2 linked regions of the Danio rerio genome follow. The protein of the gene in region 1 interacts with the protein of each later gene in a pairwise test. Links are inferred from orthologs where the notes say so. Each region holds a gene or a part of one and is shown on either strand. Other genes may lie near its edges.

Region 1 (7,828 bases):
GCCATGTGAGATGCTGATATATTTTATACTTTTCATCCTAATAAGTTCATATTTCAATAAGTTCATAAGTTCAATTCATAAATAAATAAAAATAATAATTAAAAATAATAATTAAAAAATAAAACAAATTTGTAGAAGGACTTGGCACCGTGTCGAGCAGCATAACACTGTCCACGGTTATATAACGAGAGCAGACTGCCAAGGGGACAGCCGTATTAATACTAGTCAAGCAGATATAAGTACACTCCTCACGCCCTGCCTAGTTTCTAGGCTGTATAGCAATAAACATGCAGGTGGTGCAACTGGCTCCATCTAAACTCTGAGAAGGCGGAAAAACAGGGTGAGGTTTCTACGAAACACTGTTAACATTATAAAGCATCACGAGAGGAGGAGCTCACATAAAAATAGATATTAGGCTTAAAGAGCTGATATCAAATAATGGCATAATTAGTCATAAAAGTATGCAAAAAGGGAAATTAAGCAAGACTGAATCTGGTCATTTAAAAAAAATCTTCCAGCTGACACAAAGGTTTAGGTCACAACTCATGACATTAACAAACCGATAACTGGCATTATTAGTTTAATAAACTACTAATTTCTGTTTATTAATAGTTATAAGGTAAAAGAGTTTTTTTGGGGGGTTGGGTAGGATTAGGGATATAGAATAAAAACGTAATTTATAACTAATAATCAACAGTCAATATCTTAATAATAGGCAGGTTATAAGCCAGCAGTTTAGCCTGAATTGAGACAGTCAACACCAAGGTACACCACGGTTTGGAAAAGCCAAGGTTTTAAAATGGTGAAAATTTTCTGCAATACCATCCCTAAGGTATGTTTATGATTTTTATAAACGTTTTTGTGTGTGTGTGTGTGTGTATGTGTGTGTGTGTGTGTGTGTGTGTGTGCGTGCGTGCGTGCGTGCGTGTGTGTTTTTAAGACAACAGTATCTTCAGCAGAAGATGCCGTTTTAAATTGTAAAAAAAAAAAGTTTTTAAAACAAATAAAGACAGCAGAAGTCAATAATTCATTTAGCCTGACACATTTTCTGCTCCTAAATATTTTAAATGTTTCTCAAAGTAAAACCTACTGTGTTCAAAAGGGAAAAAAGTTTTAGGTTTTTTCCCAGACATTTAAAATATATATATTTTAGTACAGTAATCCCAATACCGCAAAACTGTGATACTTTTATACAAGGTTATTATACCGTCAGAATCTTATACCGGCCCATGCCTTTAGTCCAAACACATGCGCTATAGGGGAATTGAATAAATTAAATAGCAAGGGCATCCACTGCGTAAAACATATGCTGGATAGTGGATAAGTTGGTGGTTCATTCCGCTGTGGCGAACCCTGATAAATAAAGAGAGTAAGCCAAAGGAAAATGAATGAAATAATGAATGACTAGTGTGTATAAGTGTTACCATATATTGCTTTCCTTTTTCTTTGCTTTTCATCCTGACATTTTATAGCAAAAAAACTCTTTTTTTATGCAGTCAATGTATTCATTAGTTCTGGCCTTGATGTTGATGCATAAACAATAAATCATGGTTATTATTTCTGTAAACATTTCTGGGGATAATTAAAGGTGTGCATGTTCTGCTCACCATGCTTAAAAGCACATAATTGTGCTGTAAATGTTTGCTATTGGTCTTTAGTAAGGTGCATGTGTCTTATATTTCACCAAAGCAGAAACAATGTTACAAATGTAGATTTTAGGGAAAAATATGGCTTTTACATGTTTGCAGACATTTTTTTAATCGGAGTACTGATTTGGAAGATTAATAAAAAACAAAAGTAATAATTTGGGCTGTTGATTGTAGCCTTTAATTTTAAAGCAAAAAGAAAAAACTATTCAAACAAGCAATAAAAACATACAAACAAACAAGATACATCAGGCATTTTACATTAATATATAAGAAAAATTCAAAAACGTTTTTCGGTCAAATCTTTACTGAATAATTATTTAAAACTTCATTAAAAGTCTTCTACAAACATTAAAAGCAGGACAGTCTAATAAAATATTTAACAGAGGAATCTTAGAAAATATGCAAGGAGTAGGGTGTTCCTAATATACTGGTAATATATTTATTTTAAAATAAATAATTTTAAATTTAGAGCCATATTTGCCCATTTGTGATATCACTGACATTTTAAAAAATAAATTTGCTTAATTGTTTTTTATTCATTATTGCGATGTGAATTAATACAGAGATTTGATTATGAAAGTTTGTAATTTAGGCTTTGGTTGCAACCTTATGTTTGTAAATGTTGTGGCGCTTTGAGCTTAGAAAGGTGCATCATAATTAAACATTATGCATTATTATTACCCAAATATAATTTATAGCATCTCTCCATGACAATGTCAAAATTTTAGCGCAGCCATTATTTCACACTGCATAAAAATAAACCTAAGCAATAAAAAATCTTTAAATAAGCAGTTTTATGTATTTTGTGATTCATGTTTTTACTTTCCCCCATTTATTTACGCTTTTGAATTGGATTATTACTTTCCTCCAACAACTTTTAACCTTGTAAAGTTAAAAAAAGTGACTTATTTACTTTTTTAATAGCTTAAAGTGATATACTGTCTGGTTGGTGTTGTATATTACGCTACAAAAACATTGTAACAAACATTTTCTATTCTTTAACAGACTTATTTCTTTAGATATTATTTTTATACATGATATTATTATTTCAAATGACTAAAATGTGAATAAGTCACTTTGTGCACTTTTGATGTTAAAAATACAACAGAGGAGAGATCAACATAGCATAATGCAATTTGCCACCGCAAATAAACCCAAAACACACAAAATAGAGAAACTGTTCACTAATATATTTTTTACAGTGTAAGAGGACAAAGTAAAAGCACATGCATATCAGTATGTGTATGATGCTGAAATCACTACTGCAGAAAGTACAAGTAAAAATGGGTCAAAGCTGCTGCAGTGCTAAATCTGAAGTCAGACCCGCTTATGAAGGATACATACCTTAATAATACATTTAATGTTAGTCTAAATAATAATATCTGCCAATATGAACTGTGTTGCATATAAAAATTAAACAAGCGAGAAATGTTATGTAAATGCATTTCTTCACTGTATACAATAAAACTATAAAATCTTGCATAATCATTCTGCCTTTATTGCACCTGCTGCTTTTATAATGCATTCCAGAAAGCAATTATATTTTGCAAAGATACAATTCATTGTATAATAAAATATAAATCTATTTGTATAGTGCTTTTCACAATAATTCATTTCAAAGCAGCTTTACAAAAGGTGCACATTTCATTACAGTCAATTCAAAAAAAAGCTAAAATGTTGTAAACATAGTTGGGCTCATACACATTTTTACTACTAAAATTTCATGATTTTGCCAAGACTTTCATGTAAATGTTCATGACCTAATGTTTCATGCAATGTCTACATATGCGTGGTAAAAGAAAAGCAATGCATGTTCAAATTTATTAGAGCATAGCATAAAACATGCAACAATCCATTTACTTTCAATTTATATCCATGCAAAATTAATTTAGATAATGCTTACACCGCACTAATAATATGAGAGTATGTGATTGGCCAAGGACAGAAAATAAGAGAAAAGCCTATATTCAAGTATTTGTCATGACTTTTCTAAAACTGTGTAGGTTTTTCTGTTTTTCCAAAACTTTTCCAGGCCTGGAAAATGCCATGTAAAAATTCCATGACTTTTCCAGGTTTTCCATGACTGTATGAACACTGTATAACCTGCAGTTGTACAGGATGTGATGTCCTTCCCCCCCTAAAAAATATATTTACATGTAATAATAATACATGTTTAAAGTCATAATATAAGCAAATACAGTGTTCATATTCAATCAGAATTAAGAGTTTATCATGTTTTAAAGTTCTCATTTTCAACAGTTTCATATTGTTAGTCATTAAATAAGGTTTTAAGATGTCTAATTAAAGCAAGGATTTTTAATAAACATTTTATAGAGATGACACCCTCAAATTGTATAAATTTGGGTTGAACTCAAAAATATTGTTTTTCCTAGCGCTAGAAATCACACTTTTGACATTTCAAGCCCTGTTGTTAATTTTAATGACTGTGGTACACTAATAAACAGCTGTTTTGATGCTCAAATATGTATTCAATATCATAATATCAGCATTAGTCAGTGTACTAACGTAATGTGTTTACTGAAGCACCGAAACCGCGCGTACAGCTTGGCAGTGTCACAAACACCAGTGAACTGCCCACACAGAGTGTATTTTATAGTCAAAAGTACTGTCCATTCGAAACCAACCAATAATATATAATCTTCAAATATATCAGTATAGTGTCTATGTAGAAAACTCTGTATTTGACACACAGCCGTTTGTGTCAGTGAGCAGAGCTAATGCGCAGCTAACTCTCGCTAGCTCAGCTAACGTAACATCCATAAAAACGACAGAGTTGATAGATCAAGCATATACATATACACACACAACCCTTATGGCAATTATATAGTTACTTATGTTATTAAAAGTACATTTTAGCTGTCACTTGGCTTGAAACTCACCCTCGAGCAGGCGCTGAATGATGCTGTCTATGTTGAGTTTGTCGATGTCAGCCATGACTAGCCGATAAAAACACAAACACCACCGCTTAAAACACACCAGACACGACAGATAAAACGACTTCGATTAAAAACAAACTGGTTAATCACAAAACTCTAAAAGAAAAGATTAAAATGCTCGAGCGGGCCCGTTAGACGCGCGTGCTGCGGCGGTGGCGCACCGGCTCTGCGGAAGGACACGCAATTCGGCTCGGTTTCACCGCTGATGGAAACGGGAGGGCGGATGAACACAAAGGAAAGGAAGAAAAGTAGTGCGGAGGAAAGAGGAGGGCGTGCCGCTGACTTTCACAATAACGTGTGACGTTGAATGTTAATTGCAATGAAAAACTTTTAAAAACACATGTTTAAAACATATCCTACACATTAACATAATTATTTATTTTAACCAACAACGTCTTTTGGCATGCTGTTATTACAGTAGACCTAATACAAATATTATTTCATTTGAAAAAATTGCATTATGCATTTAATTTATGCTGATTCGGGTATACACATGTACTAGTATTACATTATTTGACAGTTCTGTTTATGTTAATTAACCAGATGCCTTGTCAACTGTTATTTATTATAATAACCTAATAAAAAATTATTAATTTTGGCATAAAATCTAGTTTTACAGTATTTGACATGACCTTTTATATTAACTAACCACATTTTTTTGTCAATTGTCATTCATTATAGTAAAAAAAATATTATTTAATTTGTAGTATTTTTGCATTAGAAATTAATTAATGCTGATTTTGGCATTAAAAAAAAACTAGTTTTATAGTATTTGACATTACTTTTCATGTTAACTAACCTCATCCTTTGTCAACTGTCAATACCATTACATATTTTGTCATTTGTGGTAAGGTATTTACTCAGTATGCATTTAATTCATGCTAATTTAGGTATTAAAAATACTACAGCATTGCAATGCAGGCCCGTAGCCAGCCTATTAAAAGGGTTCTCAAAAAGTGGAACTTTTTGCAGCTATTCGGCTCATTTTTATCAAATACATTGACATTTTAAGCACAAATTTTTGGATTAGCTTGTCGGATGGTTATCATTACAATACTTTTTGACGCAACAAATATTTTCCTATATTTTTGTCAAAGTGCTTACCATACTATTAACAAAAAATTGTGTTTATTTACAACTGTGCATTTAAAATTTACACTATTACTTTTTACAAATAATGTAATGAGATTAGAATTTAAATTAAACATTTTGAACTAAGAAATTCGAAAAAATACTTATTTTTTCAAATGCTAATTTATTATTATCCATCATAAAATAAGGAATCTGTTCAAAGTTGTTTTAAATTAAAAAACTTAAGCCTATATTTAGAGAAATTATCAACCTACGTCACAGGGGTTCCTGGTGTCAATAGTAATAGTTGTGCGGTAGGGTGCCAAATCCAACTTTTCAAATGCAGCTTAACATTTACCGTACACCACACTGCTTTAATGCCAACTGCAGACATATTTAGCTATAAGGGAGCTGAATGGAGTGAGGACCTAATTAGAAATGCTGGACTCTGCAGTTCTCATGTTATATCAGGTGAGTTCACGCTATGCTGAATCAGACACGTTACTGGTTTTTGATTGCAGCAAAAACAGTTCAATATGGTTAATTAAACTGCGGACACTGAATGCCTAGAATGAAATGTGTGTTCACATAACCTGCTGTACAGGTGTAGTTTGCTGTGAGAATGCAGTAGTTCTGCTTGTTGATGATTATCCAGGCCTTGTACAGCTCCGTCTTCTTTCCTTGTCTTTGGCTGGGCAGAACCTCAGTTTTCAGCTCTACAGTGTTGAATCTGGTTATCATGGAGTATTATTTCTTGCTCAGAGCAAAACTGTTGGCATCCAAAGATTTGTATGTCTTTAACTTCTCTCTTGTAAAACACTTGGAGTTTTAGTGAGATAGTTGTATATTTTGGGCTGGATGCTTGGCCATCTCGTCTTATCCAATATCCATTAGGAGGGTGCTATCACAGATGAACGCTGCTCACTTTAACCTTAATTTTGCTGAACAACTGTGCTTATCACTGGGTGACGAGCTGTTGTAATACGCTGAAAGCATTATGTCAATAATATGTATAATATGTCATCAATATATCTTATCTCTAACACAACAGCAAACTCTGTTCCGCATCAGATGTTCACCATCTCATCTTTTAGGGGGAAATTAGTTCTTGTTCCAGCATCCTGATCACCTCAGATTAATTGCATAATGTACCTCTGAATAAACCACATTAAAAACACTGACACATCTCTGACAAAACAACATTGTGTATAAATTCATTTTTGCAAAACTCACATTTTAAAAAGCTATTACCATATGTTAATTATATGATAAACAGCATGTGCTTTTCTCAACGAAAAGGAGATATTTTTCATTCCTGCCTCAATGAAACAGAACTGTAGCGTCCTCTGGTGTTTGTTTCCTGTAATGTGCACTTACTTTTCATAGCATCTGAACAGATTGTGGTTAGAAACCCAACACATAGCCTAATACAAACACAACAGAACCTAAATGAATAATAATAATAATAATAATAATAATAATAATAATAATAATAATAATAATAATAATAATAATAATAATAATAGCCTAATAATAATAATAATAATAATAGCCTAATAATAATAATAATAATAATAATAATAATAATAATAATAGCCTAATAATAATAATAATAGCCTAATAATTATAATAATGATAATAATAATAATAATAATAATAGCCGAATAATAATAATAATAATAATAATAGCCTAATAATAATAATAATAATAATAATAATAATAATAGCCTAATAATAATAATAATAATAATAATAGCCTAATAATAATAATAATAGCCTAATAATAATAATAATAATAATAATAATAATAATAATAATAATAATTTTTGACACAGCACCACATAATCTGCATATTTATAACTAATATGTATCAACATCCAGATCTGTCTGACTAACCCCATCTCTGTTTTATGTTTATAGTCTTTCTTTTTTCTATATTTATTTTGTGTTGTCACTCGTCACTTTATGTACACTGGAAGCTTCTATAGCCAAAACAAATTCCTTGTGTGTGAAGCACACTTGGCAATAAAACCAATTCTGATTCTGATTCTGAATAATAATAATAATAATAATAATAATAATAATAATAATAATAACTAGATTATTTAAGTTTGTCGAGACAAACTTTGAGGCTGGCTTGACAAAGCCTGT
Region 2 (6,320 bases), on another chromosome or scaffold:
TATGCCTGAACAATAAGATATATGAATGTTAATTTGGCGACGCAGTGGCGCAGTAAGTAGTGCTGTAGCTTCACAGCAAGAAAGTTGCTGGTTCGAGCCTAGGCTGGGTCAGTTGGCGTTTCTGTGTGGAGTTTGCATGTTTTCCCTGCATTCGCGTGGGTTTCCTCTGGGTGCTCTGGTTTCCCCCACAGTCCAAAGACATGGAGTACAGGTGAATTGGGTAGGCTGGGTGAGCTGTCCATAGTGTATGAGTGTAAATGAGTGTGTGTGGATGTTTTCCAGAGATGGGTTGTAGCTGGAAAACGAGCTGGATAAGTTAGCGGTTCATTCCACTGTGGTGACCCCAGATTAATAATACTATGCCGAAAATAAAATAAATGAATGTTAATTTGAATAGTTTAATAATTTACTTATGCATTCTGAACGATCTTAAAATAGCACTAACTATTCTTAATTAACTAATTTGTAAATAATGCTGTACTTAAGTAATGAAAAAATTATCTTTAACGATGCATGAAAATACAATCATTAAAAAGTGTGCTTATAAGTGAAGAAAACAGCATTGTTAGCTGTATTTACCAACTGCTTACTAACGTCTATTAATGTAGAGTTAATGCTTAACAAATAATGAATTAACTATTTGCTAATGCTCAATAAATGATTTATGGCATGTAGATATTATAAAGTGTTACCAGTTCATTAAATAAGTAAAAAAAAAAAATTAAATTAATAAAACCATTTTACAGACAATAGTTAAAAAACACAAAAACAGATCCAGCAGGTAAATTTATACCTGTAAGTCAATTATTATTAAAAGTGAATTGCTGCTATTATTATCATTAGCTATTATTCAAATACATTTAAAACTCCAAGGTAAAACTGCACAAAAGATATGGTAAGGAAAGACATGTTCTTGACATTTCAGGACTGAAGCACCAAAGCAAAATAACAAGAGGACTTAATCTTATCACAACAGGTAAAGAAGACCTTGCACGTTATTCTGGAAAAATCACATTTTCACTATTATTGAAAAATCACTATTATTTACACAAAACTATTAAATATTACTTTTATCTGCTTGTAAACAAAGCAGCACAATTTTACATCAAATGCAGCCTTAAGCCTTAAAGTGCAAAGAAATCTGACTAAAATCTGACTAAAAATAGACTTAAATCAATTAAAAGCCAATTAAACCATACTTCTTGCTTTCATTCCTTTTTTACAGCACTATATTGTCAATTATTTAGCAGGATAAAAAAATAGAAACAGAAGTACACTAACTTTCTGCGATTCAGGCGTGATAATTTACCCTACAGGGGTACAGTGTCTCACAAATGTCTTGTTGTTTATCCCAGTTGTAAGAGCAACAAAAATAACTTGAATTCTAGTTGATCATTTTGGTATCAGAAGTGGCTTATATGAGAGGCAAAGGCCTCTAGATTACGGTTATTTTACCAAAATAAAATATGATCATGCCTTGATTTTAAATTTAATTAGGACAGTAAGGTCTGACTCTGCTAAGACAAAAGTTTTGACACTTAACAGAAATAATGTACAGTATAGAATATAAAGTGATGGTGCAGTGCGCAATTAATATTGTGTATGACTCCCATGAGCATGGAGGACTGCATTCATACATCTCTGCAATGACTCAAATAACTTATTAATAGTCATCTGGAATGGCAAAAAATCGTTCTTGCAGGACTCCTAGAGTTCATCAAGATTTTTTTGGATTCATCTTCAGTGCCTCCTCCTTCATCTTACCCCATACATGCTCAATACTGTTAATGTCTGGTGACTGGGCTGGCCAATCCTGCAGCAGCTTGACCTTCTTTGGTTTCAGGAACATTGATGTAGAAGCTGAAGTATGAAAAGAAGCGCAATCCTGCTGAAGATCTGGTCTCACCTGTGGTTTGTAATGTAATGTAAAAATCAAACCATGATTTTTCCTTCACCAAACTTGACTGATTTCTATTCGAATCTTGGGTCCATGCGGAATCCAATAGGTCTTTTACAGTATTTGTGATGATTGGGATGCAGTTCAACTGATGATACATCAGATGAATCAAATGATCAACTAGAAGTCAAGTTATTATTTGTTGTTCCTACAACTGGGATCGACGACAAGACTTTTGTATACATCTTTAAAATTAAAAAAAAATTAACTGAAATTAACCACATTTCCTGAATATAGATACAAAATTGTTGTTTTTTTATTTAAGTCTACTTAGTTTCTCACTATAAAAAACTTTTTAAAAATTCAAAAATGTATGGTCTGCATATTTTTTCCTTATTCAATAAGAAATCATTTGAAATCAGAAGAATATACTTGTATAAAATAGCCTTTTAAATTGTGATGCTTCAGCACAGTTTAAGGTGTAAAATACAATCCCATTTTATTTCTTAGATTACAATAAGCACTCCAATGTACAGTAAAGTGTCTTTTACGACATACATTTAGTTACATTGAGACAACATTTTATGCATGTTTTAAATAAATTAAAATATTATCCACGACATAATCTGGGATATAAACATTTAAGGAAAGGTAAGCAATATAAAATAAACAATGATTTGCACTCACTAAAATAACAATCTTTCAGCATTTTATTTTATGGTAAACACCAAAAAGACAAAGCCAGATGAAAGAGATATGAAATGATTCAACCAGGTGTTGAAGAAGACTAAGAATGTGTTCACACTTGTAGTTTGGTTCTCTTAGTTGATTTGTTCCAAAAAAGAAAATTATGCATTTAATCCAGCTCACTATGCATTGACATTGTTCTTTTAGATACGATTGAACCTATTAATATCAAACCTTTAAGCTTAATTTCAAAGACTTTCTTATTTGTCCACCAAGCACGCTTGTGTTTAATAGATGGTTGCCAGGATATGCCATTCCCCCTTTTTGTAAGATAAACAGTTTTTTCTGCATTAAATCAAGTGATTGTGACTTCACAACCTGTTTCTGATTCATTTTCAGATCTTAAGTTGATGCTAAGTGGACATTTCAGTCAAACCGAACTAGTTTGTTTGGAAGCTAACCAGGACTCTCCTAGTGGCCCAAGTCTGTCTGTTTGGTGAAACTCTCGATTTTGTATTAAGCTTGTTTTAATCAAACCAAATGTGCCAGGTGTGCCCACACCCCAAGAGCAAGTGTGCTATGGTACTTTCTAGACGCAGCCTTTAAAATACATGAAATGTGGTTTTATAGTGATCAGTGCAACTCAAATGTGCTTTTTTTGTCACATTAATCTATATACTGTATATGTGTGTATGTGTGTTAAAGTTAAGAAAATTGCAGAAAGTTTGGTCAAAAGTGCTCAGTGTCTTTTTTTTCTCAATGTATTGAACATTGCCAATACTATGAAACTTTAAATGACCACAACAACTAAATAAAAGAAACAATACAAGCATAATAGTGTGAAATACTGCAAAAACATTGCAATTACTCCATGAAAGTTTTGCAAATGCGGGAACTTCTAACTTCTTCACATTTGCGATATTCAGTCAGAAATCTGTCTGGTCCATCATACATTTCTTAGTGTTATGAAATATACATGTAATAATATATTAGTGTTGAAAAAACATTCATGTGCAATAGTCAGACAAAGTGTAAGATATAAAACTGAATTCCACGTACCTGCCAGACACTTTCCATTCTGTTAATGTAGAAAGAACAGCAAAATCATAAGAAACCAAATCTGTTCATTTGCTGCTTCTACATGAGTCCACAGCATGGCTCTTTTGTATTGGTTGTTTCCTCTTCTGGTGCTTTGAGCTTCAGCAGAGGTGGATCTCCACTAGCCTGGGTAAAGTACACAGCATTAGGAGCTACAACCTGTTGTACTGATTCGGAGGGCTCCAGCGTCCCTGGAGGCCCCTCAGGGACAGGCTCATCCTGTGTGCCTGCAGACAAGGGTAAAGGTGGTGCTGGATGCTTATTCAGTTTAGCTGCAGCTCTCTGTCGTTTGAGATCTGCGAGTGTGTGGTGAGATCTCTCTCTGCTCATGCTGTCCCCGCCAGCAGAAGCTGAACCTGGAGAGAGCTGATAGGAGGCGCTGCGATCCATGAGCCCCCCGCTCTGGAGTTCTCCTGAAAATGAACCTGTGCTACCGTTCCCTATAACTTGGGCTCCATTTTCCACCTCGCCAACGTCTAATGGAGGAACAGCGATGGCATTAGAGCTGGACATCTAAATCAAAAGAGGGAAAAAATACAAGAAAATCCATCAAGAATAGTCAAGGCACAAATACATGACTAAGCTCTCAATAAACACAAGATCAGTTCACATAATCATCCCATTATTTGGGCGTAGATTTAGGGTGGATGGAGGTGATGTGTCCCCACCAATATCCACTGAGACATAGAAATGTCCCAACAAATAATTTAATCCACTTTAAAAAAAAATTGCGATGTCAACATTGACCTAGACACGCAGGTTAAATCACGTTTTTTCCTTAAGTCCTACCGCCCCCAAAACAAACATGGACATTTTGATTGGCTGTGCCTTTCCATGCTATTATGTGAGAGGCTGTGGCTGTGTTCAGATACAAGCAGCGACAAATGAAGTGGATTGTTTTGTTTTTTCCTGTGCCAGAATAAGGTGTGTTGGGTGACACACGAGTGAGGATGATGGCAAAAAAAAAAAAAAAAAAAAAGGTGAACATAAGGAGCATTTTTCAACGAAATTGTAAGTCACATAAACGCAAGTTCGCTACTGAATGAGCCCATCATGATAACGCCGTTAATGCTCGTGTTTTCCCTGGCTTTAATGCAGTCTGTTGTTGTAGCAGGCTGATATAGGCTAGTCTGCGATATTTAATTAAAAAAAAAAAAAAAAATATATATATATATATATATATATATATATATATATATATATATATATATATATATATATATACACACACACACACACACACAGAACAGTTCTGTCTGGTTCTCAAATCTGATTGGCTGATAGCCGTGCAATATTCTGCAATATCAGAACTCCTACAGCCTCTTTACCCTTTGTGTATTACTCCTCCCACATACAGCCAGCAAAAAGCAGACACTACAGATCTAAAGTTTAAATGATGCTTGCTCAACTGTTTAGCTGTCAGCTTATGATTTGAATCCGGAAGAAAGTAGTTCCTCATACAAAAGGGTTTTTGAGACTCTCCATGTTTGATTTTGTTTTTATATACACAATTATGTCGTCAAACTGTTGTATAAACACAATATCACACTCGTAGCAGCGAGATATGGCTGTATATCGGCACTGGTGGGGGCACTAAGGGGCACTAAAAAAAACTTTTTTGCAGTTATTTGTCTGACTTTCCATTTAATTATGCATAATATTGCATTTTAGTAACATTTTAAAAAACTAATGCTTGCTGGGTTATCGTGTTGGATGGTTATAATAACCACACTTTTTGATGTACCAAAAAATACTTTCAACCATTCTGTCAAATTGCCAAACTACCGTTTTAAGTGTTTATTTACAAGTGTGCATTTAAACTGTAAGTTTTATATTATAGTTATATAAATAATGAACATTTTGAATAAAAAATATGAAAAGATACTTATTTATTACTTTCCTCAGTCAGAATTTGCCTATTTTGATAATGATGGGAAAAATTTTAAAATAATAATAATAGTCTAACTTTTGGTCTTTCGAACCACCCAAACCCCCTTGGCTACAGGCCTAAAACTTACAAAAAAAACTGATTAACGAGTGGATTAGTAGTATATTTTAATAGCAGTTAAATAAATAATAGCGCATATATATATATATATATATATATATATATATATATATATATATATATATATATATATATATATATATATATATATATATATTTTTTTTTTTTTTTTTTTTTTTTAAAGTCTTCCATATCTAAGTCTATGTCCTTTAAAATCATAGAAATACTCACTTTAGAATGCGTTTTTGTTTATTTTTGTTCTGTGGTGTCATCGTATTCCTAAATTTCATTCATAAAGTGGCCTGGTTGGTCTTAAACCCTGGTCAGACCATATGATTTTTATTGTTAGTTACGAATGTCACAATGTCAGATTATGCGATTTTGTCTCGATAAAATCTTGACTTGTCATAACAAATGTGCCAGGCTACATGTTCCTTCACAGTCAGCCATGATGTCTATGATTTTCCAAAGCAGTCACAAGTGTTGCTATAACAATATTTCTCATCTCAATTTCAATTTCTTTTTCTTATTATTTTAATCTCAATAAACAATAATGCTGGCTGAAAACTAGGCTCCATTATTTAAATATTTATTTTTATTATTTCTAATGACATTGATCAAATCAAACAT

Evidence for each region. The genes of interacting proteins can lie anywhere in the genome.
Region 2: the proteins of ppp1cc (region 1) and ppp1r16a interact in binary tests that used the Homo sapiens proteins (3 or more experiments, as listed by UniProt). The link is inferred for Danio rerio from reciprocal best matches to the Homo sapiens genes PPP1CC and PPP1R16A.

The regions. Positions count from the first base shown.
Region 1 is NC_133180.1:2,462,746-2,470,573, reverse strand, and holds the start of ppp1cc (serine/threonine-protein phosphatase PP1-gamma catalytic subunit A), read right to left. Parts: upstream 4,787-7,828; 5' UTR 4,605-4,786; coding exon 4,550-4,604; intron 1-4,549. UniProt on the Homo sapiens protein: Protein phosphatase that associates with over 200 regulatory proteins to form highly specific holoenzymes which dephosphorylate hundreds of biological targets.
Region 2 is NC_133187.1:14,359,099-14,365,418, reverse strand, and holds the end of ppp1r16a (protein phosphatase 1 regulatory subunit 16A), read right to left. Parts: intron 4,196-6,320; coding exon 3,722-4,195; 3' UTR 2,082-3,721; downstream 1-2,081. UniProt on the Homo sapiens protein: Inhibits protein phosphatase 1 activity toward phosphorylase, myosin light chain and myosin substrates.